3 linked regions of the Mus musculus genome follow. The protein of the gene in region 2 interacts with the protein of the main gene of each other region in a pairwise test. Links are inferred from orthologs where the notes say so. Each region holds a gene or a part of one and is shown on either strand. Other genes may lie near its edges.

Region 1 (4,202 bases), on a different chromosome or scaffold from region 2:
AGGATGGGGATCTTGTTCAGGACCTGGGGATGGCTGGCTAGTTCAGGGTCGCTGCAGAAACAGGCCAGCAGGGCCACGCCCAGGGCCCGGAGAACGTGGTCAGGGCAGCCATCAGGTGCCTCCTTAGTGGTCAGGAGTCGGTTGGGAAAGGTGAACCCAACGGCATCAAAGATCCTACGTCGGGTTTTGGCATCAATGTCACCTGCTTTGACTGCCTTCGTTACCTGGGGGGGGGGAGGGGGGGGAGGGTAATACACTATCAGCAGAGTGAGAAGAATTGTAGCAAAGACTGTCCCTACCCTGTTCCCTGGGCACTGCAGGAATGGGTTACGCAATGGGATCCATTCTGGGGTCATCTGGTCCAGCTCCTCCTTCCTCCTTGGAGACAAGACAGGTGTGACCTCTGGTATCCCTATCATGTCTGATTGCCTCATGGAAAGGAGTTTGTCCAGTGGCCCTTCACTACACATCTGGGCAAACGGTCATCACCTGGCCAGCTGAGGAGTGCCTCCTGGTCTCTAATCCATTAATCCATATGCCTAAGACCTGGGAGGCAAGGGGCTTCAGAACTCAAATCCTCTAAGGATTCAGGGTCCTTCCCTAAGGACTTCTCTCCAGAGAAGTCTCTGATCCATTTCCGACACCTTCTCACGGGAAATGGCTCCTGTGTCTCGTTGCTCCGCATGTCAAAACATTTCCCCTTACGTTTCGCCTAAACACCTCCTCTGCTGCAGTGTGAGCCCTTGACTCCAGAGCCTTCTCCCTGTTGCCATGGCAAACAAGCAACTGCTGCACTCCCTCCTCCCTTCACCCCCCACACACCAACTCATCCCCCCCCTCCCACCCCAAGCACTGCAGCTCCTGCTTTGCTGTCCCCAGCTTGGGTTCCTCTAGCAGACTAAGACCCTTTACTTTTGACATACTGATCATCACTCTGGTCATCTCTCAGAACCTCTTGCTAGTTACTCCCCATCCTGTTACTCTCTCAGGTCGAGGAAAAGCTACCCCGGCCCACAAGTACTCTGCACTAGTTACAACCTGCTGCTGTTACCCTATGAGTCAGCTCCCATCTGCTCCGGGACGCCCCAAAAAGCAAATCCAGGCAGCCTCCTCCGTGGTCCCATGCCACAGTCTTATTCACCCCTCTTCTCCCCTTCCCCCATTCTCAAGAGAACAGAGTACAAAGGTAGAGGTCTCAGGCCTTTTTTGGTACCTCCGGGTTGCCAATACCACTTAGATACCCCTGGAGACTTGCTGACCCCATTCTTTGGGGGCCCTCCTGACCAGCCCTCCCACCTTCCAGGTCCTTACTAGCAGCAGGGCTGCAAACTGCTCGCTGTCATTCTTGGCCTCACGGAGGGCTCCCAGGTAGCGCTCCAGGGTGGGGTTTCGGCTCTCTGCCTGGTTCAGAGCTGGCTCACAATCCGAGGCCATGATGCCCGCCTTGCCCAACTGTGAACACAAGAGGGACTGAGCATCCCTCTGCAGAGGAGGGGCGGGGGCGGGGGTGGAAGTGGAGGATGTAGGGAGGGATTAGCACAGAGGGAGGGGGGGTGGATTTGGAAGGGTGGCTTCCTCATGACTGACCTCCCTTGGGGGAGCCCCTTTAAGAGGCTGGACCTACAAATTCTTTAGGATGAAGAAGGGACCCTGGTCCAAGGTCACCTCCAGAAAAGTGGGATATGAGGACCATGCATGCCGCTGCTCAGCTGGACAGCTTTCCTCACCAGTCTAGAAGTGGGAAGGAGCTGGCCCAACTGCTCAGCAGCCCCTGGCACCAGACACCGGGTTTTATCTCTCTCCAGGAGGCACACGAGGAGTGAGCGGTGAGGACAGACAGGGAGGAATGCAGACAGACACGGGTCAAGTTCGATTATCCGGACTCACGCCGACAAGGAAGAAAAGGACATTCTAGGGTTCCTTTCCCCTCCCTTCTTCAGAGAAAGTAGACTGGCTTCAGCAGGAGTGAGAAGGCAAGCTCTCCAGAGAAGGCTTTGAAGACTCCCCTGTGGACCCACCCCTCCAGCCAGGGCTCTTAATCGCCCCCGCAGCCTCCTTGCCTTCTCTTCTTTCCCTCCCTCGGGCAGAGGCTGCAGAGGCTGCAGAGGCTGCAAGAGCAGGAGCTGCAGCTGCTGCTGCAGCAGCAGCAACATTAACCCCTTGTGCTCCCTGTACTCTCCCTGTCCGTCCCGCTAACAGCCTGTGGGTGCCGGCACTGGCTGGAGAAGGAAAGAGGGGTCGGGTGGCTCTCAGGATAACAGAATCCAAAAGCCGGATAATCGAAGCGGGGCTGCAGTGATGGAGAGATGAGAAGGGGAGAAGGGATCCTGGCGGTCACCACCTGTCCCGCCGCAGCCAGGTCACAACACGACATTGATGAAGTCGAACGACAGGGCAGCGATGAGATCACACTTCACGATGGCGCGGTGATGTCACGGAGAGATCACAGCGAAATCACGACATGAAGGGGACAGCCCCCAAATATGATAGGGCAAATTTAAAAAAATATATAGGTAGATAGATAAATACTGAAAGGGGTTGTGACAAAATGGAGTCTCGACAGGGTACGGTGATGTCGAGATATGGCACGATGGAGTCGCGATAGGGTCCCTGGGGAGTCTCGGCATCGATCAGCGCCGGTTCGGAGAGGCTCCGGCTGAGATGCAGGGGAGGGCTTGAAGGGGGCTGAGCTCACCAGGCTGCGGCCCCGAGCGGCGAAGTCTTTCTCCGGGCGCGATGCTCCGGGAGCCTGGGGCTGCTGCTCACGCCGCGTTGCCCACTCTTGGCTCCAGGCTGCTACAGCTCCACCCCCACCCCCGCATCGCTCTCGACCAATCGGCGCTGGGCTCACTCCGCACTCTGACCAATGGCACAGCAGGGCGCTAAGCAGTAGGGGGGCGCCTCCGGTGCGGCCATCTTGCTTGTGGGCAATTGCCCGAGTCTGGGGCCTGAGTGCTCGAGCTAAGGAGGAAAGGTGCGGGCCGCCCCGCAAGGGCTCGCGGCCAAAGGCTGAGGGCCCGGACGTCCTCGCTTGTGCGTAGCTCTCCCCTCAGCGCCGCCCCTCCTCCCACTTTTGGGCTCGCGGCTGGAATTGCGCTTCCGGAGGGTGGGGGCAGGAGGACTGGCTCAGCGTGAAGAGTATGTTTCCGGGTTGAGCCCCGGGAGGTGGGAAGGAGGCGGCGTTTCCGGCCGCGGTCGCTGTCCAGGGAGGCTGAGGCAAGAGGGAGCTGTCCGGGTGGGGAGCCAGCACTTCCTTCTTCCTCCTCTGCGTGAGGGGAGAGAAGGTTGGGGGTCCCCGAGCCCATGGATCGGGAGGAGGCGGAGGCCGCCGAGAGCCGGCACCCCTCTATGTGGCCCTGAGCCCCGGTAGGTGGCCGGGGCGGCTGACTGCCAGGCCGAGGACCAGGAGCTCAGGGGAGGGGCAGAGGCGGGACGGGCGATGCCTCGGGTACGCTGGTCCGGCGTTGGGACCCGGAGATGGCGCTCCTGGCTGGGACAGGACAAATCTGCTGCTTCTAGCCTTGCAGGTGCCAGAGTCCCAATCTGAACCCCTCCGCTTTGGGACTCAGGCCTGGTCAGGCAGCTCCCTCTATTCCCTGACATATGGGCAGACCAGGCTGAGGCACTGCGGTCCTTATGATACTCTCGACCTCTGCAGCCTCGTCCCGAGTTGCTGTCTCTGGTGTTTGATGATCTTCCCATCGAGATTAAAAGAAAAGAAAAGGGAAAAAAAAAAGTTGATACAGAATAAAGGGGGCGGGGCTGGGCTCGTTGGCGAAAACCTTCCTCCTTGAGAATTTTGACAATTATGCCCCTTAGAGGGTCCTGCGGTGGCTGCAGTGAGCACAAAAAGCGAACTGAAGGAAGTCAAAGTAGAAGACCTCAGGCGGGGTTCCAGGAATGCTTTGCCTGGTCTCATCTCACGGTGGTTGTGCCCAACTGACAATAGAAGCTGTTAAAGCTCCTTAGCTGACTCTCCTTGTGCTATCTTGTGATTAACAGACTGGAAACTAGGAACAAATTGGAAAGACGACCTCCTAGAACAATCTGTTCATTTTTCCAGCTATTTGGAAAACAGTGTTTGCAAATATAAGCAAAGCTATTCATGCAGTCTGTTCTGTAACTTTCTCAAACATCTAGGACTTTTTTCTTTCTTTCTTTCTTTCTTTCTTTCTTAAAGCTTTATTCTTGATTACTCACAC
Region 2 (3,500 bases):
CTGAGTAGGTGCGTGTGTGTGTGTGTGTGTGTGTGTGTCTGTAGCCAGATCAATACCATGGGATCTCTTTGGTAGGCTATAGGAGCTTTTGAGTATTCCACTCAAAGCTCCTCAATTAACTTCAAGAGTGTCCAAAATTTCATAATACAGTGATAAACAAAAACTAGGTTCCTTCCTTTACACATCTTCCTTTCATTTACTTGCCATAAGTGTGCTAGCTAGTTTGGTTTTTTCCCTTGGGGGGGGATGAGGGGGGCTGTCCTGTTGTTTGATTTGTCAACTTGACATAAGCAAGGGTCCTTTGGGAAGAGGAAAACTGTCATCACAGAGCCATCCACACCATTCCAAACAATGATTCAAACCTCTTGGCCCACAAACATACTCAAAACTGCTTACCTTGGGAAGCTTACCCCGCCGAAGGAATGATGACATAGCATCCCGGCCTGAATTAGATGGCAGTACTTCCCTGATTTCAACAGTACCATCACACAGGAAGTAATGCAGGACAAATTCTCTACGGTCCCCAAACAGTGAGGTTGAATCATCCCACAAGCAGAAGAAACGCAAAACCTTCCCATCATACTGGATGAATCGTTTCAGGGTGTCAAAAGACTGATAGGGACGAAAGGGATCCACAAACTCTAATGTCTGCAAATGGAGAAAGAGGAAGAAATGTAGCAAGCTTTATGTAGTCATGTCTGGGAGGCAGATAGTATAAAGTTTTTTTTTTTTTTCTGTAGACGATTCTGTCATCCTTTTTAAAAAGCTTTTAATTAAATACTATGCCATACAGGTATACAAATTCACAGTCAGTTTTAACCTTAAGAATACAGGTAAATATTAGGAAGCTTTTCATAATTGTTAAATAACATTTTAACATACTAAACTATATTTCCGGGTTATGTTGGAAGTGGACTTTTCTTAAAGCCTTAAATTTTATTAAGAATGAACAAACCTAATTTATAGTGAGAAACCAGAACAGTAATTGTGCCCTCCCCCGAGCCTTGAGCAGGCTGGCTCAGACCTTGTTTGCCACAGTTGCTAGCTCACCTAGGGTGGAGTCCTCTGACCTAAGTAAAGTCTACTGTCTTGCCACATCTGCTGCTTCCTCCAAGATGCCACTACCTGCTGAGAGGCTGAACCTGTTTTCCTGACAAGATCCTGACAGAGCAATGAGATCCTGGCAAAGTGGGAGATGGGTTCCTCTCTTTATAAACTCAGATTCATAAGTAATCATTGGGCCTTGATCAGAGAAATTTGTCTTGGCTCATTATTTCTCTCGCTGCCTTTCCCATCCAACCCCAGCTTGTAGTGGCCACTGGCAGCTACAAGTAATTGTTTCTGTAGAGGGGATATATCAAGAAGGAGTGTCTTCAGGAGACTGGACTAAAAAGGGAAACAAAGGAATATTTTGATGTTATGGGCAATAGTCTGTATCTTTTATTTTTTTGTTTTCTGCCATGTTGTTGAGCATCTTACACATGCTGTGGAAATGTTCTATGGGTGAGCTACATCCCCAGCCCCAAATATTTTACATCTTTTCATACTGGTTACTTTGGTGTACACATTTTCCAAACACTGACCTGCATTAACTTAAGATTTGACCTGCATTGATTTAAGATTTATAAACCCAATCCTAATCTGATTATATTTTTACTTTAAAAATGTGTCTTTCTCCGGGGCCTAGCAAACACATAAGTAGATGCTCACAGTCAGCTATTGGATGGAGCACAGGGCCCCCAATGGAGGAGCTAGAGAAAGTATCCAAGGAGCTAAAGAGATCTGCAACCCTGTAGGTGCAACAACATTATGAACTAACCAGTACCCTGGAGCTCTTGTCTTTAGCTGCATATGTATCAAAAGATGGCCTAGTAAGCCATCACTGGAAAGAGAGGCCCATTGGACTTGCAAACTTTATATGCCCCAATACAGGGGAATGCCAGGGCCAAAAAATGGGAATGGGTGGGTAGTGAAGTGGGGGGGAGGGCTTTTGGGATAGCATTCTAAATGTAATTGAGGAAAATACGTAATAATAAAAAATATTTTAAAAAATGTGTCTTTCTACCAGAAATCACTCATGTCTATGTGTATGCATGCATGTGCATGTGTACATACATGTGTGTATATGCAAAGATAAGAGAAAGAAATGTATTTGTGGTTTAATTTTGCTCAAAAAATTTCAGATATCCAAGAAATGGACATAGGAACATGGCCAATGGAGAACTTCCACTCCACACAGAAACCCTATCTAGCTAGACTCTGCTCTAGAATCATTGAGATCCATGGTCTTCTTGGAGCATCTTTCCTTCAATTTGCAACCTCTTAGCTCTGTCTTAAAGTATAGCTGCCTCCATTCTATCTTGTATAAGCAAATGATGTTGTTATGTAAGAAAAGACTCACTTGGGAAATGTTATCCCAAATTGAATTATATAATCATTCTATAAATTCCTGAAATTTTGGGTTTATTCAGGGCAGTCTAGCCTTACTCTTATTTCAAGAGGAAAACAAAAAAGCCTTCTAGAGGCTCTACTATCCTTATCCTTGATATTTAAGTGAAATTATGGGACCTCTGCTTTTATGAATTAAAATGCTTTTAATGTATAAGTGCCAAGAAATGCATTATTGGTCATATACCATTAAGATCTTGTTCAGTTTAAGCAAAATAGTTTAACTTTACATATCAATGCAGCAGCAAACACTTAACTAAATCCATAAAAGCCTCTTATTAAACTCTTAATTTTCCCAAGATTTCTATCTTTATTCATGAGTTTTCTTTGCCCTAATGGAATACCAAAATGGTTCCCAAAGTCTGAAGGAAAATTATTTAGAACATCTGAGTTTCCTTGGTATTTACCTCCAATTATTGCCACAAACTTTTTCTTCCCTAGAAGACTATAAGATCTGACAGTATGTTGAATTTTATGAAATTAATATAATTTACCATCATCCACAATCACTATCATACAGTAATAACTGTTGGTGGATACATGTAGACATATGCAAGGAGCAACAACTTATATGGTCCTTTTTCCTTCAGATTCTCTCTGAGGCTTCAAAAGACTTTGTATTTATCATTCACGGCACATGAAAGACATAAAAAATGAGCCCAAACCTCGAAAATCTTTTACATTGATATAAAGTTATTCTACCTTAGATATTCCAGGACTAATAATACATATACTTCACCGGAGGACTTTATACCTACAACATCAAAGAATAATTTGCTAAGGCGAAGAGCCAGGTATAGGGGAATGATCTCACACATAACTTTTAATGAGAGATTAAAAAACAGAATCAAAGGGAATTTCATTTTAAATTTTGTTAATCTGAAAGGAAATGAATTATAAGTTTTGAAAACAGTAAAAATCAGATAAAATCAACCTATGGAGAGAACAATTATAATAGTAGTTATCCTGAAAAATCAGGAGTGAGTGGGTTGGTGAGCTGGGGAGGGGAGTGGGATAAGTATTTTTGGAGGGGAGACAAGGAAAGGGGATAA
Region 3 (3,685 bases), on a different chromosome or scaffold from region 2:
AGAGCCAGAACTCTCTAAGGCTTAGATGTCCCACACTTGCAAGCCCCACCCAGGTAGCACAGAGGCGTTGTCTTGGAGGCCACCAGAGGGCATTAGACAGTAGAAGCCCCTTATAGGAGATATGGTTGGCCCACAGTCTGTGGCTGGACTGAGGAATGGAGGCCTGCCCCCACCCACTTGGCCAGGATCCCAGAGGCTGAGCTTCATGGGGCTCCCCACCCTCCTTGGCCATCCAGGGCACCCCGCCCAGCTCTGGCCTGACTGGTTTGGGAGACTAATCCAATCCCCTAGATCCCTGATGCCTCCGTGCTGGGGCAGCTGTAAAGGGCCCCAGGCCTTTGTTCCACACCATGGAGGAGGGTGAATTGTGCTTTGTCCAGTGGACTCTCTTGTCTTCAGCATTTGGGGACACCACCTTTAACTATGTTTCTCACCATAGGGTTGAGGTGGTGTAGTTGTGGGTCTCTGGCCATTTGGACGTTCAGGACACAATTACTTGGGGCAGAGATGCTTTATGGGGCTGCAGATGAGTGTATGGAAGTAGTGGGGCTAACGGGGGTGCACAGCAGGCTGGTAGGCAGCCAGGATCTCTGCGCTGTGTGGACACGTATACTTGAACTCCTTCTTCTGCAACGCACTGTCCAAGTAGCGACGAACGCAGGACAGTTCCGCGGGGATGGGCAGCTGGCGGAAGTGTGCACACACGGTCTGTGGGTGCAGCAGAGCGTGGTGAGGGTCTCACTCGATGGCCCCACACCCACACCCACACCCTACCCGCTGGTCCCTCACTCACATCCACAATGTGCAGCTTGGGTAGTAGACTGCAGTCAGCCAACGTGAACTGGTCACCATCGAGAAAGCGGCGGTGGGACTCACGAAGATGTGGCTCCTGTGCCAGTTCGTGGTCCAGTGGTGCACGCAGGTAGCTGTCCAGCCTGGTCAGGGCCCGGAGCAGCTGCTGATACAGGGCTTGGGGGCAATGATAACCATGAGGACTCTGTCTTGACCTTGGGTTAGCCCTCCTGCCTGGACCTGCTGGCCTGTGTCTCACCATTGTCCTGTGTAGGCACTGGGTTCTTGATGAAGGCAGAGAACTTGTGGAAGATGTCATTGCCCGCTGTGTTGGACTCCCTGTACCTGGGTGCCAGGCTAGGGAAGCTATAGGTGTGAATAGTTTGAGAATTCCAGTCAGACCCTCAAGTACACTGTGCCTCAAAGCACCCTTCCTAGGCACTCTCCCAGGTGTCCCCCAAGGAGGTCCCATCTTTGCCCTCCTGCCCACCCCATCAGATGCTCACTCAGGTGGCCCCAACGTCTCCTCCAGAAACTCCTCGATCTGCAGTGTGTCTGTCTTGACATCCCCATCGTACAGCAGGATGGGCAGCTGTGAGCCTGGTGCGAAGTCCTTCAGCACATCCAATGCCCTGTGAACACCAGGCAGAAGGGAGGTGGCTGGCCCGAGGTGGGCAGAGGCCAGGGAAGGGTCCAGGGTGGTGTCTCACCTTCGAGTGTCCACTGTGGTGAGTGTGAAGGGCACACCCTTGAGGAGTAGGACCATGAAGAGCCGCTGACAGGAAGGGCAGTGTCCTACGCTCTCGCCATCCTCACTGGCCTGGGTGGGTGGAACAGAGGTGTCAGGCTCTGAGCAGACCCAGGAATCCTGACACCTGGCTGGGTGGAGCTCTGCCTCCCACTGCCATTGGCTCTGGAGGCAGGCTAGGGCTCTGGCCTGGTTGAGCATGGCATCTACAAGTGTCTAGTGAGGGCCCTTGAACTGATCGCTGGAATGGGGAGGACAAAAGAAGTTGGGAGCTTAGAGGCCTAGGCTTGGGGTCCTGCCAGAGGGTTCCAGTCACAGAGACTGGCTGCAGGGTGGGGCAGGCCAGAGATTCATCCTCTAGTGATTAACCCACACAACTGGGTATTGAGGCTAACAGCTCAGGGAAGGGAGGGAAGAGACCAAAGAGGAGGCCAGGACCTGCTCCCACTCAGATCTGAGCACTGGCCTGATAGCTAAAAGGGCCATCTCTGGCAAGCCCCCAGTCTGGCACATGACCCTGAATCTCTACTAAATGCCAGGTGCCAGCTACCAGACTGACATCTATCTCCTCACTAAGAAGCTTTCTCCCAGAGCTGGGCCAGGTCCACGAGCCAAAGTGAAGAGCGGGACCCAGGCTCTCTGATCCTCCTTATGGTAGCTCCTCACCCAGGATGCCTGGCTCTCCTCAGCCCTGTGTGGGGCAACTCAAACCCACCACAGGGATAGGGACTTGGGCACCATTAGGAAGACCCACCCCTCCTCCCAAACAACAAGAAGAAAAAAGCCCAGCTCCTCTTCCAGCCCAGCCTGCCCAGAACCTTCACAAAGAGCTGGAGCTTGGTGGTTTCAGCCATGGTGGGAGCCGAGGCATCCGGCGGCAGCAGCAGCCCAGGGCACAGGGTGTGCCTTGGGAGCTCTTTAAGTCTCTCTGATGCCCCACCCTCCCCAGGCAGTGGGCCCGCCCCAAGGAGCCACCTAGGCAACAGACAGGTTTCCAGAGCAGAGCCTGTATAAGACCAGAGTGTCCGTGCTACCAGTGACCACAGGAGGCCTGAGTCTCAGGGCCAGGTGTGAGTATGGGAAGTTGGCTCACAGCAAAACACTGAAGCCTCAGTGTGGTTGTGAGGGGAGCTAGTGTGGTGAACGCACACTGGGTTGATCTCAGCTCAGGAGTTGCCTCACAGCCTTCTGCGGCTCATTCTCCATTGTCAAGTCCTTATCCCAGAAAGCCAGCCAGGGGGTGGGAATGAGTGGGAAATGCCTCAGTTTACCTGTCTGTGTGACAAGCCGAGGGAGATGCCCCCTCCCTCTGACAAAACCCAGTCAGGTAGGGCGGACCCGCATTCCAAACATGTTCGCGGCCGGCAGGCTGATAAGCCTGGTTTTGGTGTTTAACCCATCTGAGCAGTGGACTCCGTGCCCCCATCCTGTCCACACAGGCTCAGAGCAGCTTTCTTACTCTTAACCTTGACCTTCAGTTGGCACCAGGAAGGGTTAGAAACTACTACCTAGTGGCTGAAATGGGGATGAGGTCCCCAGCAGGAAGGAAAGGGCCAGTATGGTCTGACCCTACCAGGCACAAATCTGCCATTGGGCCTTCCCAAGCCCACTGGGCTTCACAGTGGGAGTGCCTTTGGCATTCTTTGTATCTCGGCCTGCGTTTCACAGCAGCAGCCATCTAGGAGAGCTGTTCTTTAGAACCTGTGCTCACAGAGGACCAGCACTGCCCACTGGCTAAGACCAGGACCTAGGGATTGCTTTCCTGTCTCTGGTAGGCTGGTGCCTTCCAGGCTACACCGTGCAGCCAAGGTGGCTCCATACCTGCCCACTCACCTGCTCACGTGCCTGACTCCTAGTCAGGGCCTCAGCTGTGCCAGGCTTCCCTCCTCCTTAGCCCTGCCTTGTCATTTCCCTGACCTCAGCCAGAGTTGAAGTGAAACACAGCTCTGATATCCTTGGAACCTGGATTTGTGTTGGAGGCTTGGTTCCTCCTCTATCCGACTCTTGACTCCTAGAGCCAGTTTTATTTTGGCTTCTTACTGACATGGTCAGCTTTCTGTTTTGTGGTTTTCTGTCCTTTGCAGATGACAAATCATCACTGTGGGGCAGCCCTGAAGCCTTTCCCAACTGCCAGTGGTCACCAGA

Evidence for each region. The genes of interacting proteins can lie anywhere in the genome.
Region 1: the proteins of Efhc2 (region 2) and Ncdn interact in binary tests that used the Homo sapiens proteins (3 or more experiments, as listed by UniProt). The two-hybrid records come from large-scale screens. The link is inferred for Mus musculus from reciprocal best matches to the Homo sapiens genes EFHC2 and NCDN.
Region 3: the proteins of Efhc2 (region 2) and Clic3 interact in binary tests that used the Homo sapiens proteins (3 or more experiments, as listed by UniProt). The two-hybrid records come from large-scale screens. The link is inferred for Mus musculus from reciprocal best matches to the Homo sapiens genes EFHC2 and CLIC3.

Annotation. Positions count from the first base shown.
Region 1 is NC_000070.6:126,750,630-126,754,831, forward strand, and holds the start of Ncdn (neurochondrin), read right to left. Parts: upstream 2,801-4,202; 5' UTR 2,375-2,800; coding exon 2,342-2,374; intron 1,939-2,341; exon of another isoform or gene 1,888-1,938; intron 1,453-1,887; coding exon 1,312-1,452; intron 225-1,311; coding exon 1-224. UniProt on the Homo sapiens protein: Probably involved in signal transduction in the nervous system, via increasing cell surface localization of GRM5/mGluR5 and positively regulating its signaling. Required for the spatial learning process.
Region 2 is NC_000086.7:17,225,942-17,229,441, forward strand, and holds part of Efhc2 (EF-hand domain-containing family member C2), read right to left. Parts: intron 649-3,500; coding exon 397-648; intron 1-396. UniProt on the Homo sapiens protein: Microtubule inner protein (MIP) part of the dynein-decorated doublet microtubules (DMTs) in cilia axoneme, which is required for motile cilia beating.
Region 3 is NC_000068.7:25,455,588-25,459,272, reverse strand, and holds Clic3 (chloride intracellular channel protein 3), read right to left. Parts: upstream 2,431-3,685; 5' UTR 2,395-2,430; coding exon 2,359-2,394; intron 1,842-2,358; exon of another isoform or gene 1,742-1,841; coding exon of another isoform or gene 1,613-1,741; coding exon 1,503-1,612; intron 1,425-1,502; coding exon 1,299-1,424; intron 1,159-1,298; coding exon 1,052-1,158; intron 970-1,051; coding exon 794-969; intron 709-793; coding exon 550-708; 3' UTR 501-549; downstream 1-500. UniProt on the Homo sapiens protein: In the soluble state, catalyzes glutaredoxin-like thiol disulfide exchange reactions with reduced glutathione as electron donor.